2 linked regions of the Oreochromis niloticus genome follow. The protein of the gene in region 2 interacts with the protein of the main gene of each other region in a biochemical or structural test. Links are inferred from orthologs where the notes say so. Each region holds a gene or a part of one and is shown on either strand. Other genes may lie near its edges.

Evidence for each region.
Region 1: the proteins of bone morphogenetic protein receptor type-1A (region 2) and bmp4 form a complex in vitro, tested with the Homo sapiens proteins (3 studies listed by BioGRID and IntAct, with this or other methods). The link is inferred for Oreochromis niloticus from reciprocal best matches to the Homo sapiens genes BMPR1A and BMP4.

What each region holds. Positions count from the first base shown.
Region 1 is NC_031983.2:16,786,580-16,797,779, forward strand, and holds the start of bmp4 (bone morphogenetic protein 4), read left to right. Parts: upstream 1-6,777; 5' UTR 6,778-7,065; intron 7,066-10,878; 5' UTR 10,879-11,001; intron 11,002-11,200.
Region 2 is NC_031978.2:120,406-131,466, reverse strand, and holds the start of bone morphogenetic protein receptor type-1A, read right to left. Parts: upstream 5,286-11,061; 5' UTR 5,048-5,285; intron 1-5,047. UniProt on the Homo sapiens protein: On ligand binding, forms a receptor complex consisting of two type II and two type I transmembrane serine/threonine kinases.

The DNA of each region.
Region 1 (11,200 bases), on a different chromosome or scaffold from region 2:
CTTTTCCAAAAAACAAAAGTCTTCAACGGAGTATAAACTATCTTTCCTAAAACTTTTGAAAGAGAATGCAGCTTAGAGATAGGACATTTGTTCAATTTCTTCAGCTGAGGAAACTGGACAAGTGGAGGACAACAGAAAAAGCGTTGGGCCTAAAAACTATCTACAGCAGATGAAAAGCATCTGAAAATCATGTACTTGTGAAATAGATACCCAGCAAAGATTTGGCACAGGACCTGCGAGATGCATCTGGCCCTTTAGTTGATCCATCTACTGTTTGAAAAAGCCTCATACAAAACGGTCTCAGTGCCTGTCAAGAAGTTATCCTCAAGAAGACAAGACAAAGACAAACAGACAGGAAAAGCTGGGGTGTGAGAAATTACACAAATCAGTAGTACCAGTTCTCATGGAGAGATGAATCCAAATGTGAAATTTTGGTTCAAATAATTAAAATCAAATCACTTTTATTGTCACATCACATCATCACAACGTTGTCAATCATCAATAAGCACAGTGAATGTCTACAGCCATCTGTAAAACATGGTGAAGGCTCTGTCATGGTTCAGGGCTTCATTTCAGCCAGCGATAATGGAGATCTTATCAAGACTGATGGAATTGTGAACACAGAAAATTATGGCCAGATTTTCATCCACCGTGCAAAATCATCTGAAATGCTTCTTTTTTCAGCATGACAGTGATCTCAAATACACTGCCAATGCAGTAAAAGCATAGCTTGGTGGAAAAACACACAACGAAACACTATCAGTCATGGATTGGCCTCTCCAGAGCTCGGACCTCAACATTATTAAAGCAATATGAGAGCATCTTGACAGAGAATGGAAGAAAAGGCAACCAACAAAGGGAAGCTTTGACATGTCTCGGCCTGATGAGTAAAGGTGGCCACGCCAATTGTTAGAAATAATTACAAGCGTGTTATGTTTACACATGTTTCAATAAATTTCTATTAACCATTTGCCTATTAAAAGATAAAGAAATGACTATAACTTAAGACTTTTGCACATTACTGTGTCATTCCTACATTATAATTAATTAAATGAGGTGGTGGGATTGATGTCTGAGAGTATCTCCTACCACTGTGATCTTCACTACTTCACAACTATAGTAAACCCTAAATAGTAGTATTTGACATCTATGATAAAAAATAGAACCCAGATTCATGATAACATTGGTGAATGCAGCATTGATTACCTTTAATTTTATATTTCTTTCATTTTTTTTCTTCTTTCATTTCAACACTATCATGTCTTCTTCGCCCACACAGGGATGTTAGCATATCCCAACTGCTTGGAATTCCTTCCCTCCGTCTTGAGAGCACACACTGCATTTTAAAACTTGTCAGATCCTTTTAAGTTTTATTTGAAAGTATGTAATTACATTCTTAAAAGCATAACAGGTCGCCGGAGTGATTTACGCGCTACATTAAATGTCAAGTGTCGAAAAGATACTGTTAACACTCGTGTGTTTTTGGAGCGAAAAGGTAACAAAGTGGAAACATTTGGAATTGGAGCAGAAGCTTTGAATGCACTTCACTTCTGGTAAGTTTTGAATTTTGTGTTGGTTCATTTGGGGGAGCTGCGGCTCTTCTGTGGCCCATTTATGATTTATGAGGTTAGGCTCTTTGTCACTGATAGAATTAAAGAGTAGATAGGCAGTCTGATTTGTGTCACTCATTTCGATACAGCTTTCTGCTTTCAGTCGGGGTCACTGAAGGTGGTATGTAACTTTCTGAAAAATGGATTAGTAAAGTTTTGGAAAGATCTGCCTTTCTTTTTATTATGGCTTGAGAAAGTAAAATATGGCAGCAGTTTTCTTGCTGAATGGCAACTTTGTGCGGTGACCTCATAACTTGATTTGGAGAATATTACACAGTCGTTCTTATCCAAAAAGAATCCTAGATATTCAATTTTGAAACACTGGTCACAGGATCTCTCAGGGCACTGTATCAGCCTTCTGCATGCATGTTATTTAATTATGTTCTATTCCTGGTTGATTTCCATCTATTCAAGTCTAATCTATTTTTCTCTCGAGCTCCAGAGCATAACACTTGTGAAGTTCTCACCACTGGAGAATTTATTCTGCTACCTCTTAGCTTGGCCTCTTAGGGTCTGTGGTGTGGCCAAAGTCAATTCCCCCTCTCAGATTAAAGGAGTATCTTCAAGTGCCAATCCAAATGGTGATAAAAAAGCTTTTTAATCCATTGAGAAAGTTTCCCAGCGTAACCCCCCAGAGTCCCGGCATCAGGCGTTGCTGCACTCAGGCTGTGTCTGGACAGTGTTGAAGCCCAAGTGTGTCTTCCTGCACCCTGACAGAGAGAGGGAAAGGCTCAAAAAGCCCCCCTCTGCAGCTCACTTGACCAGGTCTCTTTGATAACATCTGGCAGGGCCAGGATTGCACCAGTGACAGCATGAGATGGACAGACATTAAAGTCCGCTCACTCACAGCTCCACATCATTTGACACACAGAGCCTCAATCTCACATGCCCGAGTGTCACTGATGATCTCTCTTTGTAACGGGCCTGATGATATTTTCCAGCAAGAGTGCCAATAAGATGGTGACTTGGCATGGCTTCTTTTTATTGTGAACTCAAAAGGCCACTGATACTGTCTTTGCTAAAGTTTTTGTGTGTTTCTTTGACTACAGAAGAACAAAACCCCAAGTAGGTCGGCAACTTTTTGCTTAAACATTCTTTGTAAAAGGGGAGTTATAGGGTTTATTTAAGCATGACATCTGTTGAACGGGGTGGGCTGGAAAAGATGCTGGGCCACCTTTGTTCTCGTGAAAGAGACTGGAAGCAGTTTGGTGGGGGAAAGAAGAGTTTCAACACAGTTATCCCAGAGAGGCTCAGACCAGTTCAACATCCATCCTTCTCCATTTTCTTTTTGTTTACTTCTAGGTTCATGAGTTTACATGCCAATTCCATTACAGGGATTAAAATAGTTTGTCCAATCTATCCTCAGACTTTGCTTCCCTTGTCTGTCTCCCTCCCTGAACCCCCCACACCACTTACAGACTTTTAGGTCTCAAGGCTGGGTTAGGGGATTACAGGACAAGCAACCCTCAGCCCGAGAACCCAAAGAAACACGAGGCAGCTGTGCTGAAGAATGTTCCAGTGAGAAATCCAAGCATTAGCAGTGAAAGCTGAGGTTTGATCAATGGCTGTGGCGCGTGTCTGCACTAGTGAGCACTTTGCAGAGCCTCTGAGGTAGAAAAAAAGAGAAAATTAAGGTGTGTTATGACATCAGGCTGGAGGTCTAGGTGCTCGGGTCACCTTTGAGTTGCTGCTGATTAAGGGCTGGTGTTCACAGGTGAGCAGCTCCGAGCAGGATTTAGTGACACAGGTAGGTGAAATCACTCCACTCTCCCAGCTTACGTTAAAACAGCAAAGCTGCTGACCTTTCCCCGCAAATAGCTGCAGGCAAATGTCAGAAGATAAGTGAGCTCTTTGACCTGCTCAGTTTAGTCAAAGAAAAGAAAAACAGGATGAACTTTCCATGCAACTTCTACCTTCCTCAATAGATGTTTGCGCTACCAGAATTCTGATGTTTTTACATGCCTGAATTAGACATTTCGGGAATTTTTTGCCATCTATAGAAAACTTTGGACTCAGAGGTTCATGTTGCAAGCAGTGGGAAAGCTCCTCACTGACTACCTGTGGTTCTAAGCCGCCCGCATTTGATAATCTCCTTCGTAACTGAGGAGCTCAAAGAGGCTAAACCCAGTCAACAGCTTGGAATGGGAATCCACCACATTACTTGCACTCAAGACAGTTTTGAAAGTTAACCTTTCAGTCCACTTTAGGGTGACTTGTGGTGTATTTCGGATTTTAAAAAATCCCACCTTTAATCTAAAAGGATCACAACTTTTACTAAGAATATAGTAGAATATTTTTAAAGTGTGAATATATGTGTGTTCATAACCATACGATGAGTATGAGTAAAAAATATTCCACGTAATAATGATAATAAAGATCTTAGAGCTTTACTGAGACAACTGTTTTTTAATCATCTAAAAAAATGAAATCCACTCTCATGCAGGCAAATCACATACTTTACATCTATCATATCTGACAGGTGACGTGTGCTTGAACTGTTTAACTTTTCTTTTTTCACTGGTACAGGATGGATTGAGTTTTATCTTATCTGTCCAAAATAAATTGCGCCATAATTCAGGGTTTTGTTTTTATTTTTTTTCTGCTTGTTTGTGTTTACTTCACTAGTTTGAAGCTTATCTTCAGTTTAAAACTTGCAATACAAAGTCATGCTGGTGTAATCTTGTTTTGATGGATGAGACAACCACAGGTTACGTACATCACCCTGATGCAGTCTTATACATCTTTGTATCTTTGTGACCTCACAGAAACATCCTGTCCATTGTTAATTCACCTAAAAACACCGAGAGGATTATTATGTTGGAATTTCCACCCGCACATTAAATAAACTGTCGAAGAGGAAACAGACTCTTTTTGTTGGTTTGTCTTTTTTTTTTTTTTTTTTTTTTTTGCTTTAATTAATCATAAAACCTAAAGTCAAATAGGACTGAATCTCTGAATGGCAATCAACATAATGAAGAGGGTTTAAGGACTTGAGAGGAACCAGTTTAACAGCAAAAACGTCTCTAAAAGGGCAATCTATAAGATTATTAGTTTAAAAACTAATCAAAAAAGTAAAGAATTCAAAGCTATAACAATATGGAAAAGATGTTTGTATTGTATTACAGACATTGTATCAGCACTGACTCATATTATTCCACAATGCAACTTTTAACTCAAGATGTGATATAATGTACCATCCAGTATTTACTCAGTCTATCATGAGAGAGGGAATTACTAGTGTGTATTATTCTGACATGCTGTCAATCATGATGCAAGACAGGAAGTGGAGATATTAGCAAGTAACAATCAGAAAACTGGATTATTGTGAAAGCCATCGAGCTATAAAGTCTGCTTTAGCCTAGCACCACTTACTGCACACAAGCTTGCTCACATAATTCTGATTTCTATGCTGTAGTAGTACTTATTGATAGAAGACTGGATGCTCTCCGTGCACCTTAGAAATCAAAGAAATCAAAAATAAGGAGGCAGAATAGCACTCCTAAATATCCAGAGTGACCGCCGTGGATTTTTTTGTAAAACAATACAACAACCCCTGCTTGATTCTACCATGCACAGCTTTACAAAGCAATTTACAGTCTAAAACTCATCCTGCACCAATACACAGTACATCAGATGGAATTTTAACAATACTGCAACTCAGTGGGGAACCACAACCAAATGAATGCAGGTGCATCATTTTTTTGTTGTTGTTGTTTTTTTGACAACAGGAAGTTTAAGTTACATTATACAAAGAATAATACAGTAACTGTAGTACTGTAGTAAAACTGAAACTGCACGACCTGACACTCATCTATGCATTCTAACTCTTGCCAACCCTACAAGCCTGTAATATTAAATAAGACTCTTTGGGCACTGGTGTGATTATTCAAGCTGTCAAATCTTCAGTTAAAATTGATTAAATATGGATCCTCAAAAAAAGAAAAAGAAAAAAAGACAGGAAAGGAAAAAAAGCTCTAAGTCTGACCACAAATAAATGAGCAAGGTCTTATCAAAAAGACAAAATGCACATGTATACAGTGCATAATGCGGGAAGACTAAAATCTGGGAAAGAACAAGTGGAAATAATATTTATTAAGACTGCAAACAAACTAAAACAAATCTGTAATGTTTCTGGCACATTTTAAATGCTTTTTAAACATATACAGGAGCAGAAACGTTTTAGTCATAACACGGGGAAACGGATTTTTATCTTTTTAAGCAGCGGTTCTCGCCAAACGGAATCATTCAAGGAATAATTTCAGTCATACTTTTGAAAAGCACGATTGAAAAGAACATGATGGCTGAATTTACATCTTTTTTAGTACGTGGTAATAATTGTGATTATCTGCTTTATTAATATCGTTTTCTTTATCACCGTTCCACATCCGTAGTTCTAAAATGACAGTCATTTTAAAATCATGGCACAGATGGCCCACTGTGGGGTTAGGCAGATTGAAACGGCCCGCTTTAACCTGTATGTTACACAAGTACATAACACGGTGATACCAGTCATATAAAATGTCTATATGTTAAATGAACCCTCTACTAAGTTTAAAGTTCGGTGGAACCCCTCATCAAAAGCACTATCGAAACATGGATCCACGGCATGCGATCGTGGAATAATTTCAGATGACGATAACAATAAGAAGTGCAAGAGACAGAAAAACTATTTTGTAAAGTTGTACATTAGTGGGGACACATCACTTATATCGGGGAAGCCAATCACTTTGAATACATTTCATACATTTTGATGAAGGATTATAGAAAAAAAACTTTGACCAATAAAAATGTACGCACGTGGCCACGAATATATATTTTTTAGTAATTAAATATGCATAGCATTTTTAAAGTTTACTTCGGTAGACCAGTTGTTTACATCTGCAGGTACGCAAGGCGTTTATTTATTTATTTTTTTTAGGTAAGGTCACTAACATGTTGCATATGGAGACTTACCGGGCGTTTGACCCGCTGGGCGTTATTTAAAGTCAAAATGCAAAGTTTCACATAGTGAAAAGGGGAAAAAAAGCGCAGTGAGTTGTCTTTATTTAAAGTGGAGGAGGAGGAGGAGAAAAGGGGGGGGGTTATCCAAGGTGTTTGAGACAGATGAGGGAGGTGGGGGTCGTGGAGGAAGGAGGAGGCAGAGAGGGTAAATTGGGCGGACACATAAAAACTGCAAGGGGCCATAGATGCTGGATCATTTGAAAGCCGTCCTGCGCGCCGATCGCCCTAGTGAGCTGCACTGGAGACGAATAAGAAGCCCCGCTGCAGAGCCCGAGCGCCGGCCTTCACAACTCTTGTCCGTTCTGAGGTGTCGCTAAAGGATTAATGAGCCAAAAAGGCGCATAATTTCTCCTTTAAGGCTCATTTCGGCATTTTTTCGGCGTTACGCCTGGACTGCCTTACACCTCCCCTTTCATATTCACTTCATTCGAGGATACCTGTACCTCTACTGATGGTAAGCGCTCACCAAACGACACACATCAAAGAGTCAACAGCGAAACTTTAAAAAAAACAACAACACAGACACACACACATCTTTGAGCAAGAGAGGCTCTCGCTGAAGTGTTGTTACTTTAAGTTTGGGTCTCTCCTTTGTGCGCATTTAAGCGACTCCGCTGAGTTTTAACACCGTTCCGGGATAAATGTGCGAGAATAAACGGGCATAAAAAACACCTCACAGCGTGCGGAACTCATTCAAAAACCGATATAAAAGTGCATTTTGGAACGAATGGCGCTGTGATAATGGCCAAACAAGTAACAGGTTAAAGCCTATTGTGCCCGAGACTTGAGCCGATGACAAATCAAGATGAGGTCATGTCCAAACACAGCGTCAGATTTTGCTGTTTTGTTTTTTTATGTCTTTCACTGAAATCGCCAGCGTTGCGCACGTGTATGCATTTTATAATTCAGTTTAACACTGATTAAACACCTGTAACTGCTTCTTGTCATCCAAGTATGAAGGCTTGCACGAACGATGGAGGTTGACAGATCAGAGATGAGCGATAATGAAAATAAGTTGGGGGGGGGGTTCTCGCAAAAGATGAAGTTCATTTCATTTTACCGCACGAGTTTTGAACAATAATTGACGCGTAATTGCGCCAGTTGACTGAGCTGGCGTCCAGTAATGACATAATGCTTGCAAAAACATGAAATACTAATACATTACAGCTGCAGAGTCTTGCAGATGTGAGTCCGGTTTGTAGTCCACTCACGTGTTTTTCACCTGTTTGTAACAAGTCGTTGTAAAGATAAGTCCTGTCATTTAATCCGGTAAAACTGCAGCAGGGAAAATTGCGGCCTGCGGACGCCCGGTCTCCTTGGTACTCAGTTTAGTTTGCAACTCAAATTCATCTCGTGAACTGCAAAGGAGCAGACACACACACACACACACACACACACACATATATATTTTAAAGAAGTATATTAAAGAAGTCACATGTCACTTCTGGTGATGGCTTTAATTTTTTTCGGTCGTTTTCCTTGTCAGCCTCCGTCTGATTGTTCTGGGTTTTCCGTTATTAACGCACAATTAACAACACAATATTTTTTTTTTATTTGAAAGAAAACACGTGCCATTGACATTTCCCCCTTTATCTTTTAATAAAAGAAAAAAAACCGACAGGATACATTAAAAAATCCCACACACCTCATCTTTTCCCTCAGACGTTTTGCCTTTCGTTTATAATGCCAGAGATACATCGTTGTATGTTGTAACTTCGAGCTTGAGAAATTAAAAAAATATCCAAACCTGCACATAAAATAATGAATTTTGTTAGGCTGACTGGTTAAATTTTATTATTTAGCTTTGTTAATTTGGTTACTATAAAGCAAAAAAAAAAAAAGACAGGAAAAAAAAGAAAGTGTTTGACATTTGGGGTTTTGTGTGTGTGTGTGTGTGTGTGTGTGTGTGTGTGTGTGTGTGTGTGTGTGTTTCTTTACCTATTGCTCATTGCAAGAGCAGGGCATTATTTGGGGACTACCATTCAAAGACATAAATGTCTTCTAATTATACAGGCAGTAACCAGAACCAAGCATAGACATTGCTGCTGATCAATAAGTATAATCCCCGTGACTAAAATGATAAAATCAGGCCTCAGATTTGTTCCACAGTGACCTGTTGCTCTCCTCCCTCTCTCCCTCCCTCATTCCCATCCTCCCTCCCACCATCACTGTCAAATTCCTCAGGAAACACATCTGAAGAGCCATGTGCATAGTCTGATCACATTATCTCTGGTCAGAGAGAGACAGAGAGAGAGAGAGAGAGAGAACGAGAGAGGCCAAGGGGGATCAAGCAAAGCCAAGGGCAGTTTGACTGCTGCAGCCTAATTGCACCCTGGTCTGCAACCGTTGCTGCAAAATGTATTTCTGTCACTTAGTGGAAAGCTTTTCTGTGTGTCCAGCTTTGTTTTATAATCTCATGTTGTTTTCATTGGTTTGACTGAGAGGGCAATAAATGACTGCACGTTTTTGATGCGTGCAGAGGTGTGGGGGGCGATTTTGTTGCTGTTGTTGTTGTTGTTGTTTTTTAAGAATTTGGTGTAAAATTATTTCTTATCACTCTTGGTGAAAACAGGCCAGTAAACACGAGCACACTGGCTTGAGAGACACAGAGCTGAGAGTTACTCCCTGTCTGCCTTACATCTTCTTTCATCATCATCACACCATTTTGAGTGTCTGTCTGTTTTAGCCTGCAGCTTTGTCAGTGGCTGGTTACAGTTACAAGATGTTCTGTATGGTCAGTGTTTTTGAGTGCTATGAATCCCTGTAATCATGGGAGAGGCCCTCTCTGTACAATGAACGTTTGTTGTCAGAGATGTACACACACAGACTCTCTCACACACACACTCACACACACACATTTATCCCCTCACCCCATGGGTAATAGAGCTGATCATGTTCTGAATCCTCCTCACTCTTTTTGCTGCAGTTCTCACGAACATGCAAATGGTGGCACACACTTATGCGGACACGCACGTCAATGCATGCGCTCCGTTTTGCAGTCGTGCGCGCGCACACTGCATGTCACCCTCTCTTCTTGCACAGTGGATCTAGTGTCATGACCGAGAAAAGGAGGGTCAATCGGAGGTCAAAGTCTAATACCGTTAGGGAAATAGATCCTAGATTGCATGTATAGTGAGGCATGAAGGAGGCAAGTTAATCACATAGATATGAAGCCAGGCATGCTAGCAAGCTGAAAAACACAAACTGTATGTGACACACACACACATGCAGATAGAGTGTGTGCTAATATGCATCCTCACTGTGTAGTAATTCTTGGTTGTGCTCCAGTGGAACAAGATCCAAATGATGACCGAAGCCTTGTGTCACTTTGGAGTGTTTGTTCCATGATGCTGTTGTTGTGGTCACTTAAAATTCAGTAACCTTGTTAGTGCGATTCAGCAGCATTTAACACTTCAAATGAGGTGTACAAACTGAATCATTTGATCCATATTGTTCTTGTTAAACCTGCCTGTTAAAGCTCTGACTTTTCCTTTTTGGAAAGTGGTTCTTTTTTGTGTGTAGAAGTGTTTTTTTGTTTTTTTTTTAAAATTAGGGTTCTGGAAGCACATTCTGCTCAGTATATCATGCATACATCAGTGGTGAATGTACTACTGTATGTACAGTGTTGTCAAAGTAGAGAAGGCCTGCCATCAGCGTCACAACCCATGTGAGCTCTAAAATGGAAGAGAAGCTCTTCTAAGAAGAATCTGTTTAGTTCCTTGTCTAAAATAGGTCATCTCAGTTGCTTGGAGGGGTAAAGGCTGAGTAGATTTTCAGTTTTAGTAAACCAACAGCCCTCTTATCTTGAATAAAGAGTTTACTAATTGTGATCAGACTTGTTTTGTGCTCTGTGGGTTCTGACGTTTTTCTGTTGAACCTGGCGCTAATCAGATTTTGAGCTTGTCATTAATGTAAAGTAGGAAGCTGCTTTTCAAATGGGTGTCTCTGAAATAGATGTAAGTGTTGATTAAGTTGTATTTTCTTACCAAGGTGGGTGTCAAGCGTTAGGTATCTGCTGTCTGTGTTGTAGCACATGCCTACTTACATTCCACTTACAGCAAATAGCTAGCTTACCCACTAGCCAAAATGATAAGCCTTAAAGAGACACTGGGTCTCTCTCTTACCCATAAACACACACATACACAAGCTGACACAGATAGACACACAAGCTCCTGTGCTACTCTTTGAAGAAATGCTATGTAACAACCTCAAGTGTTTGCAAGTGTCAGTTCACAATATCCCTGTGTTTTTTGCCTTCATCTTTCAGGAACAGGGTCACTTCAAAGTTCTCCTGCAGCCGCCCAACGCCACCTGACATTTCCTAGAAGAACGGGTCCATTGCCTGCTCCCAACAAACATGGACTGTTTCCCCATGCTTTATTTTCTGTCGGTAAGTAAGTGGGCCATGCCATTTCAATTTGCGGCATGTGACACGCCGCTACATCTTGCATCTCCCTTCTCTCTGTCCGCTGACTCACTCGTTTATGTGGCATCTATCCAGAGGAAGAGCTTTTTCTTATAAGTGTGTGGCACAAAGTCCCAGGTTTGAGCCATGGTTTGTTTGAGCAGAATGTGTAAGACCGAGACTT
Region 2 (11,061 bases):
ACACTGAATAAAAATGACTTCCTTGAAAGACAATAAATGTACAGTTCAGTATACAAAGTGTGTTTGAATGGCAGAGATGAGCCATGGCTGAACAGGTCTCACAGGCCTGAGTGTGCACTTCAGAATTATTCAGATGTCCATTTGGTAAAGTAAATCTGTTGGGCATCTGTCTTTGCCTATAGACAATAATTCTGATGGCAAAAGAACCAAACGGGACAGGCAAGAAAAAAAAAAAAAAAAGAAAAAAAGAATTATTCAGATGTTTTAAGTTCAGCTAAATTCAGTTTTATTTACATAGGACAAACTTACAAGCAACAGTCACATTTAAGGTGCTTTATACTGTAAAGTAAGGACAGCCCAACAATCAGGCGACCTCCTGTGAGCAAACACTTGGCAACAGTGGGAAGGAAGAACTCCCTCAGGCTCAGGAAAGGGTGGCCGTCTCAGAGACTACTTTGAGGTTGAGAAGGTTGTGTGACCTAGACCCCGTTCACAAGAGAGCTCTCTAATGCCCCCTCCCCTTTGGTTAAGATAAAAAGTCAAACTTTCAAAATAAGAGCGTGAGGACTGTCCACAATTAAACGGACGACTGTTTGTTTGAAGATGACAAACACACCTTTGCACACTTAGCTAAGAAAATGTAATCTGTGGCTGCACGGGGATACAGGGTTTAGCTGCCCTGCAAGACTCCATTAGCATTAACTGGTGTCTTCCTGTACACTGGTCTGGTCTGGTGCCATTTTATAGGTATAGATCATTTACTTATGGAACACAGGAGAAATCACCGATCCCTCGGAATGTCTTTAGGTTTAAACTGTAAACATGACTCAAAAAATAAAGATTCAGTGGTTTTATGACACAAAGAGGAGGAGGAGGAGGAGGAGGAGGAGGAGGAGAAGATGACTGTCAGTCTTATCTTTTTCAGAACCCCCCCGTTTCTCTTGTTGTGGCCTCGCTCACTCGCCTGCTGTCAGTGTTATTTCGGTTACAGTGATCTAGGCTTGGCTGAGGAATGTACAGCTGCCTGAAACACGGATAATACTAGATTTTAATTTCTAACACCCGCTCTCCGCCCTGCTGTGTGCCTCTGCTCCCTATCAGGGAGGAGGAAGAGGAGGCGGCCTGCAAAGGTAGAGGCTGTGAGAGCAACAACGACGTCAATGCTTTCTGTAGACCTTTTTAAAATACAGTAAAATATAACGCATGATTTAAGTTATTATAACAGAGTATGTGAGGCTGCAGACAGGAAAAAGGAACCTGAAGACGTCATTTGGTGGTTTTAGCCGTTTAGCTGTGGAGGTTTGGATGCATGCACGGACTGTCTGATTTCTGTTTGTTAGCATCTCAAAGCTAACTACTAAACAGACGACAGACGGACATCCAGCTTAGACACCCTTAGACTTTAAACACAACACTCTTTAAAGACTTTGGATGCAATAAACAGAATTGAGACACTGTTAAAGCTTCTAAACATGTTAAAAACCCCTACAAGGCTTCATGCACCCTTACAGATTCTAAAGCCTTTTAAAAATACTCAAACAGGCATTAAACAATATTAAGAGACTCTGTACCATTAACAGAGTTAAAGACGCAGCAAAAGACAAAACAAAGAAGAAGACCCAGAGGGTTGGCATCTACTTTCAGCAACATTTCTGAAGCTTCTTCCTCCTGATTGTCACTGAAGACCTTTTAATGACCCACATGCAGGAGGCAGATAAATGCCAGCAGCCAGGTCTCACAGGGGCAGCCAAACAGGTTTTCCTCCTCTTCTCAGCAGCCATTAAAAGACGCCGCCTAAAGCGATGCGGGTCAAAAATGTTTATCAGAGGCCCATTCGAGGCATCAGCAGTCGGCTTACAGTGAAAATAATATCTGTTATCATCCCTGCATCCATATACAGTAAGCAAACATGCAAACAACCAGGAAATCAGCACTAAACACCCCAAAACTCGTGTATTTTGTAGGTTTAAGCCTGTTTTTAAGTCACTTGGATTAAGAAAGAGCCTGCATCTGTTACTCTGTTTGGGACCTCACTTCTCTGGTTCTCTTAGCTGCTCGAGGTTGTTGTCCAATAATCAAACAAACAGACAGTCTTTAGCATGTACGAGGATCACTTAGATTCTTAAACATGTGGTCCAGAAACATCATGCAGGATTTTACTGCAACCATCCCAACACGCTGCAGTTCTCATGCCACAAACTCTTCAGGCGATTTTTACCGACTCTGTGCCTCTAAATCGTATCGTCGGCACAACACTGGTATAAAACTTTGAGTGATATTAAAGTGTCATGTTGTCATGTTTAAGTTCCCTGGTGTGTGCAACAGCAAGACAAGCCCAGACATGTCTGAGAGCGAGAGCAGCCTGTGATGATGATTTAGTACCTAAAGCAGTAGCTACTTCAACACCCTCCCAAAAGCACACACCATCGAGCAGTGCTGCATGATGCTGCAAATCAGAGGTAAACACAGGGCCAGTGTTGCAGATACCAGTACGCATATCTGTAAAGGCAAGTTAATTATAATTAATATAAGCATATATTAAGGATCCTGTCGTGCTTGGATCAATCCAGTACCTATACCAGCATTGGTATCGATATGATCGATATTTGCATTGCTCTGCACCCCTCTTTCATCGATAACACCCCGCTTCCAACAAAGAAGACACGAGCAGCCGGTGACGTGGGACCCAAATCTGGACAAATGACCATCGAGCGTCGCTAGCTGGATAGAATCACTGATGATGCCGTTACATCGGTGAAAAAGCAGCTCTTCAAAGAGCTCGACCAGCATTTAAGATCCCAGTTAGGAAATGTGACAAAATCGTGCCTGACGAGTTAGTTACCGTTAAACTCGAGTGTTAACGCCTCATCACTGGCTGTAAAGTCGCTGATTTACATTTACAGATGCTGCTGCAGAGCTGCAAGCATCACTGGTAGGATGATCCCAAATGTTCTAGAAATATCGTGACATACCTCATATCGCCCACTCCTGCTGTAAATTAAAATAATGTTTGGCATTTTCATGTCATTCGCCCACACAAGGCGGGCAGTTCGGGCTTCAGGGTTTTCCCTGCACATCTGGACTCGCTCTGCCTCCACAGCCAAAAACGCTTCAACAGTCATTGTTACATTTCAAACTAGCATCTGACACAACGACTCTGAAAACCTCACATCACTTTTCATCTTAAGGGAATTTTACGGACTCTAAAGACCATTTAGATTAAATTATTATTGTTGTGATGTTAAATCTCCTCTTTATTATTTCTGCATTGGTCATCAATGATGAAACATGACAGGGGTGTGTAAACGCTGAACATGACACAGAGGACACAGAGCATTGTTAAAGAGCTCACGCATCGTTTTTACTGAATACAACAAACAGGTCCAGGTAACTGTGCTCACTTTAAGCCGCTTACTTCTCATTCTCCTACAGCGTCGGCCTCATGTTTGAGATTTTCATATAAGCAAACACAGTGAGAGTCTGTGCTGTAAAGAAGGAGGACGTCTACTGAATCACGACACAGATGAATGTGCCTTTAACATGATTGGCTGTTCCAGTAATGGTTTCATATACAGGTGATTAAACTGTATATGCCAGATGTGGTTGGATGTTAGATCCTCCAGTTTAACAGAAACCGTGAGTTAAACCCCCCCCCCCCACACACACACACAGTGCTGGGCAGTGAGAGGTGGATGTGAATGGTAAATGGCCTGTATTTGTATAGCGCTTTACTAGTCCCTAAGGACCCCAAAGCACTTTACACAACCAGTCATCCACCCATTCACACACCCATTCACACACACATTCACACACTGGTGATGGCAAGCTGCATTGCCATCACCAGGTGTGCGGGTGTGTTTAGTTTTTTATTAGACAAAGGTGTGAATGAGATCACATTAAAGGTGCTCAGGAATCAGCTGCCTCTCCGGGAACTCTTTCATCCCGCTGTTGCACACCAGCAGCAGTTTTTTAAGTTAATTTGATATGTCTGATAAACAGATTATTGGAAAGATTACTCCCATGTCCGCGCATTTTAAAAATAGGAAATGGCCTTTGTTTAAATTTAAAGTATTTTAAATTTAAATAAGTACTTTAAGATTTTTTAAGGAGGTACATGAAAATAAAAGTGACTCTTTTATGCTACCTTATAAAACCTCTCACACTGCAAAGACATAAAAGCCGCGATAGTTAATCGATTAGTCGATCAGTGGACTGTATTGATTATGAGCTGCAGACACGTGAACGATTAAAAGCCAGAAACATGGCGGAATAAACAAGAGACAGAAGTGAGATCAAAACCATCTTAAAACACGCCGAAGCAGCCTGGAAACAGAGCTCACAGGTGGCTTTACCTGCCTGCTCAGGTGGGTCAAAAATCAGAGTTTGAAGCAGGTAAACATACAGAAACACGGCTGGTTAGCCCACGATGCTAACCAGGCTAACAACATTAAAGGTCAGCAACGAAAAGCGCCGTTAAAAAACTTTGACAACAAACTTATTTACCTGTTTTTCTTCTTCGTTTCAGCACCTTAAACCCGCTCACAGCTAACTCGCAGCTAGCAGCGCTAACAGGAATGCGGCTATCCGAGCTGGAAACAAATTCTACCGAAACAAACTTCACCAAAACCCCCCGAAAACACCCCTACACCCCAAAATAGTCCGAATCTAGGGTTTAGATAAAGCCCTTGTGAGTTTAAAGCGATAATCTGTCACTTTTTAAATCAAAAACGAGCCAAATTTCTGCTGCAGCAAATCTAAAGCCAACTTTTTTTTTTCCACGACAGCAGTTAGAGAAGGAGGGGATGCGTCTATCTGCTGGCACAGAAATAAAATCTGTACACCGATAAAATTCTCATTTCTTTAACTTACATCCACAGTTAGACACACTAAAATTATTTTATACACACCCACACACAGGCCTACTTAAAGCTGATTCACTGAAAAATAAAAATCCTAAGGGAGTGCGTGTACTCCAGTAAATAGACGGCGCTCAGAAGTCGGGCTCATACCCGCAGTCTGGACTGAAGTTTGGGATCGTTTGACTCACCTTTCTTCCTGAGTCTTTACTCTCTCCTGGATGTTTCGAACCTTTTCTCCCGCGTTATTTCATCCTGTAAGACCGGTTCGAGCTCGCTCCAGCCTCCCTCCCTCCGTTATTAGGGGAGAAATCTATATTTCCAGACGTTTTTCGTCGGCGTCCTCCGCTCCGTGCGTTCCGCTCGCCTCTGCGGGTTTGCGCTGCTTTTAGACAGAAAAGCAAATACCAGGCAGAGATCGTCTCTTGGTCTCGCGATGACTCACTGTGCATAACAAAACACTTCCGGTCGGAACGAGGGGCGTGTGGAAAATTTGCACGCGCTCACTGTTTCACCTCTCAGGTAACTTCAGAGGACCTGAGATTAAATGTGCATCATCGTCTGATTGAGGGTTTGAGGGGCCCAGGTGTGAGGCTTTCGCGTTCTTCTATTTTCACTCCCTAAAAACCCCCAATATTTTTTTCTGTTTTCTTACTTTTTCTTCTTATCTAGCATTATTTGCATCCTGTGTACCTGAATGACCTGCAAGTTAGAACATGTTTGTAGTATGAAGGATTCATTAATAAGCGCAATGTTATGCATGCAATTGAACTGAATTTCCCGGAGGAACCCACCCGATGGATTAATAAAGTTTTATCCAATCGAATCTAATCCAGTCAGTGGCGGTCCTAGCCTGTTTGGCGCCCTGGGTGAACACTCCTTCTGTGCTCTATTTGGAAGCAGCCGCCCCCCTCCCCTTTCGACGGGTTGTGTGAGACTTCAAATCATCAAGTTGTAAACTGTAAATTTTAAATTGTTATTGATCCCTTTACCCCGAGTCCTAAAGTGTATATTTATTTTTTTACTCTTAAATATTTATTGTTCGTTTACTTGCACTGCTGTAACTGGAGCCTCGTCGTCTCGTCTCTCTATATACTGGACTGTATGTAGCGGAGATGCCAATAAAGTTTACTTTGACTTCAGCACCGAGCAGGCGCACCGAGGGCTCTCGCGCTCACTTTTCGCGTATAGAATTTCAAAAAAACATTGGTGCAAATTATAAGTCTGCATCATGATGTCCGGTGTTTTCGTGTTTGTTGGTTTGTTTTTATTTTGTTTTATTTTGCGAGTTGGTTATTAGATGCTGCTCCAGCCAGCCAGAGACTCCCCCGCCGCCCCGCCCTCTCCTCCCTGTGCCGCAAGCAGCAGGCGCACCTCGCAAACGAGGGCGCCCTTGCTCCCAGCAAATGGGCGATAGAAAACCGATCAGTGCCTATGCCATCCCCAGTATGCGCTGGCATGACGTCGGGGCAGCATGAGTACGAGCATTTTTTAAAAAAAAAAAATTTTTTGCCGATGCCCGTGATGCCGCCCCCACCACGATGCCACCCCGGGCAACCGCCCGTGTCGCCCATATCAAAAACCGCTACTGAATCCAGTACTAGGAAGTGTATTATCACCCTCTCTGTACACTGTTTTTGTATATAGTAAATACTATGATTGCTCTATTCCTTGCTTTAATTCTATTTTCCTTTTTTTAGTTGCTTTGTCTGTATCTTGTAAAAAGTGTAACTTGACCTGGAGGGCTCTGTGCAATAATTCCAGCATGCATGGACCGTTGGTCCTGTGCGCAAATTGCAAATAAAAACCTTCAGTCTTGAAATACAGTTACCTGGTCCTGAGGGCTCAGCTGGGAGCGTTTTCCCTTAATTTACTGATTGTATATGGAACGAAACATTCAGGTTCAAAAGTATTATGGACAAATAAATGAGAGCCTCCGGGCAACAGCTGTTGTGATTTGGCTTATCTTAATGAACTATGACATAAATCATCACGCGGCAGCTCGTTATGACTACAAATAACTCTTTTCTTTTGGTATTTTTGGAAGCAAAGGAAACACCATCCATCCATTCGCTTCCGCTTATCCTTTTCAGGGTCGCGGGGGGCGCTGGAGCCTATCCCAGCTGTCATAGGGCGAGAGGCGGGGTACACCCTGGACAGGTCGCCAGTCTGTCGCAGGGCCAACACACAAGGACAGACAACCATTCACACTCACATTCACTCACACATTCACACCTAGTGACAATTTGGATTATCCAATTAACCTATCCCCACAAGCTGCATGTCTTTGGACGGTGGGAGGAAGCCGGAGTACCCGGAGGGAACCCACGCAAACACAGGGAGAACATGCAAACTCCACACAGAAAGACCCCGGCCTGATGGTGGAATTGAACTCAGGACCTTCTTGCTGTGCGGCAACAGTGCTAACCACCGTGCCACCATGCTGCCACCAAACACATGTTGTAAAATCTCATTTTAATTGTTCCAGTCTCAATGATTCAGCAAAATAAAAAATAAAGAAAGTATAAATGCTGAGCTTCAACATTGCAAATAATAATAATAATATACTTATATGAGGTATATGTTATACTGATTCAAATGCTAATTTAGAACAATAAATAAAATGTTATTAATTCAAAACATGGTATTTGATGATATAAATATATATTTGGGCTTCCTGTTGGTTCTAAAAGCTGAGCCACATATTTTCTTTTTCTATCTTTACAAAAACACATAAATACACGATCCTCCGAGTCAGCATCATATCTGAGGTTTTTTATACATCTGGAAAGTTGATTTAAAAATAATTTATAAACTTACTTTATATTTTTAGCCACTGGCATTCTGAGGCTTAAACAAAAATAACTGCCTAGAAAGTCAGTGATGTAGTCTAAGAGCTGTTTTTGGCGGCAGAGTGAGACCTCTTCCCCTTTTCACTCCTCTCTGAGTCCAATCTCTGCTGCTCAAAAACCCGCAGGCTTTTATTTTGAAACGCAATCAGGAGAGGGCACTAGCTCCCTCTGGTGGCTCCAAACTGAACAGCATTATCATCGCTCAACAAGAACGACGCTCGTTATCATGATGACGATGATCTGATGATGAGGATGAAGATGGTGATGATGACGATGATGTGTGGGTGTGACAGTCATGTTTTTCGGTTGGAGTTACAGAAAACTGATGACAGATAAAAATGAAAGAGGAAGTTCATAAAGGTCAAACACGAATACTCCTCTTCTCAGTACAATGACTCATTTTCTCATTTTTTATTTCGTTTTTGGTTCAAATATTCTTAAAGCTGCAGATATGAAAAATAGAGATTTTTAGGGGATAAAAATCAGATATTAAATAAGGAACCACATTTTTATTTTGTTCCTCTGAATATTTGCTGCCTCCAAACCATCAACGTGTCTTTTAGACCCCATTCCTACAAAACTGCTCAAAGAAGTCCTGCCATTAATTAATTCTTCGATCTTAAATATGATCAACCTATCTCTAATAATCGGCTATGTACCACAGGCCTTCAAGCTGGCTGTAGTTAAACCTTTACTCAAAAAGCATCTCTAGACCCAGCTGTCTTAGCTAATTATAGGCCAATCTCCAACCTTCCTTTCATATCAAACATCCTTGAAAGAGTAGTTGTCAAACAGCTAACAGATCATCTGCAGAGGAATGGCTTATTTGAAGCGTTTCAGTCAGGTTTCAGAGCTCATCACAGCACAGAAACAGCTTTAGTGAAGGTTACAAATGATCTTCTTATGGCCTCTGACAGTGGACTCATCTCTGTGCTTGTCCTGCTAGACCTCAGTGCAGCGTTCGATACTGTTGACCATAATATCCTATTAGAGCGATTAGAACATGCTGTAGGTATTACAGGTACTGCACTGCAGTGGTTTGTATCATATCTATCTAATAGACTCCAATTTGTGCATGTAAATGGAGAGTCTTCTTCACATTTCAAGTTCACATTCCATTTGCGCAACATCTCTAAAATTAGAAATATCCTGTCCCAGAGTGACACTGAAAAACTAGTTCATGCATTTATTACTTCCAGGCTGGACTACTGCAATTCATTATTATCGGGAAGTCCCAAAAACTCCCTTAAAAGCCTTCAGTTAACCCAAAATGCAAGCCCTCATAGTAAGTACCATCTCACCCTATTAGAGCACTTCGCTCTCACACTGCAGGCTTACTTGTTGTTCCTAGAGAACAGAGATTGACAGACCACATGACTTTCGCGCATTGCATTCTGGGTACCCGTGGCAACAAAATCAAAACACTGCATCAAGCGCTAGCATTTCCAGCACCAGTAATCATTAATTCTGCAGTTTTAATCCCTACTTGCATTTTATTTGCCCCAAAAACAGTTATGTACAAAACGACGGAGAACACGGCAGGTCCGTACAAAGACAGAGTTGACGAAAAGGCAAAAAAAAAAAAAAAAAAAAAAGTACGAGGAAAAAATCAAAGGAGTGAAAGGGTCAGACCCGTACGAGCGTACAGAGCGGAGTAAGGACGTTAGCGTGCTGCCCAACTTCCATCACGCACATATTTATTACTATATGGTCCTAAGTGTGAGTGCAGACACTCACAAGCTGTTTATTAACTTCAGATCCCTGCAACAAGCCCAGGTCCAGTTTACTTTGGTGATTTGGACTATTCCATTTCACAGCTGTTGTTACATTCTTTTCCTTTATCTCCTGTACAGGCAAACGCATCTATTTGTCGTTTCACAACATTTTCAGATCTAATAGAAATAACATGAGTGTTTCGTAATTCATTCAATTTATTGTCTTTATTTATAACTGGCATTCTCCAAAAGTTGAATCTGTTCATCTGGACGTAGCGTTTTGTGGGAGAAACGTTTCGTCTGAGACTGAAGAAGTCACTTGGATGAGTGACCAAACGTTTCTCCCACAAAACGCTACGTCCAGATGAACAGATTCAACTTTTGGAGATTTACTTTCCTGGATGATTGAGAATGCATCAAGACGATATAACTGGCATTATTGTTTCATTCTATTATAGAATCTTACAAGAAAGAAGCAAAATTGTATTCGATTATGCTTTATTAGCTGCTTCGGTGAAAAACAACAATGCAAAACAACATACTGGAAAACAGTTATTCATCACTTGATTGCTTCAATACAACCCTTGGGCACATATATGCGGGACGTTTCGTGGCTGTTTTGATGTCGCTCTCTCTCTTAACCGATCAAATCTGGCTGTGGTAGCAGCTTTAAACTCTGTCTGACCCAGGCTGATAGAGGCGCCCAGTCTGCATCGCATTCCAGCATTTTGTAGGCTGGTTTTCCTACAAAACACAACAAACATTAGCCCGCAAAGCCACAGTGAACAAAGCAGCATAGCGCAACGAATTCAATTCAAATCAATATAAGACTTATTTGTAACCTACATCAACAATTATGTTATGATAAATTACGTAATAACTACAACAGAAGACGTACCTTTGTGGAAATGCTTGGAGCAGACTAACATGTGAGCTGGAGTGTTCTGGGACGTTATATTTGGTCTTCGAATGGCTGCAATCCAGGCCATCCGTCGGCTCTTTGTTACTTCGGAAACATGGCTTGAACAATTTTTCTTCCACGACGTAATCCGATAAAAACGATTTCTTTACCCGTCGGCTTCCCGTGGCTGTCATGCGACCGGCTATTGCATTTAATAATACAACAGCTTCTTGCCATTTTGTGTTTGTTTTTATCGCTGTGTGACTGTTTTCATGTGAAAGCCTGCGTGCGCTAGTATGGCTTGCCACTCGTTCCCACAATCCTTTGCGGTTTTACCCCTGAATGACGTCACATTTTCAATCTCTATTTCAAAGTAGAATGGGAGGCAGAGCCTTCAGTTTTCAGGCCCCTCTTCTGTGGAACCAGCTTCCAGTTTGGATTCGGGAGACAGACACTATCTCTACTTTCAAGATTAGGCTTCAAACTTTCCTTTTTGCTAAAGCATATAGTTAGGGATGCACCGATCCCGATACTGGTATCGGGTATCGGGGCCGATACTGTAAAATGTGTGCGTACTCGTACTCGTAAAAGTTAACCGATACCATGAACCGATACTTATGTAGCCCGGATGGGAATTTGGGAGTAGATAATCATAATTCCCATGGACTTGAACGCCACATAAGGTGTTCACAGTTCACAGAAGAGAACGGCATGGAGAGATGCACGAGGTTAGCTGA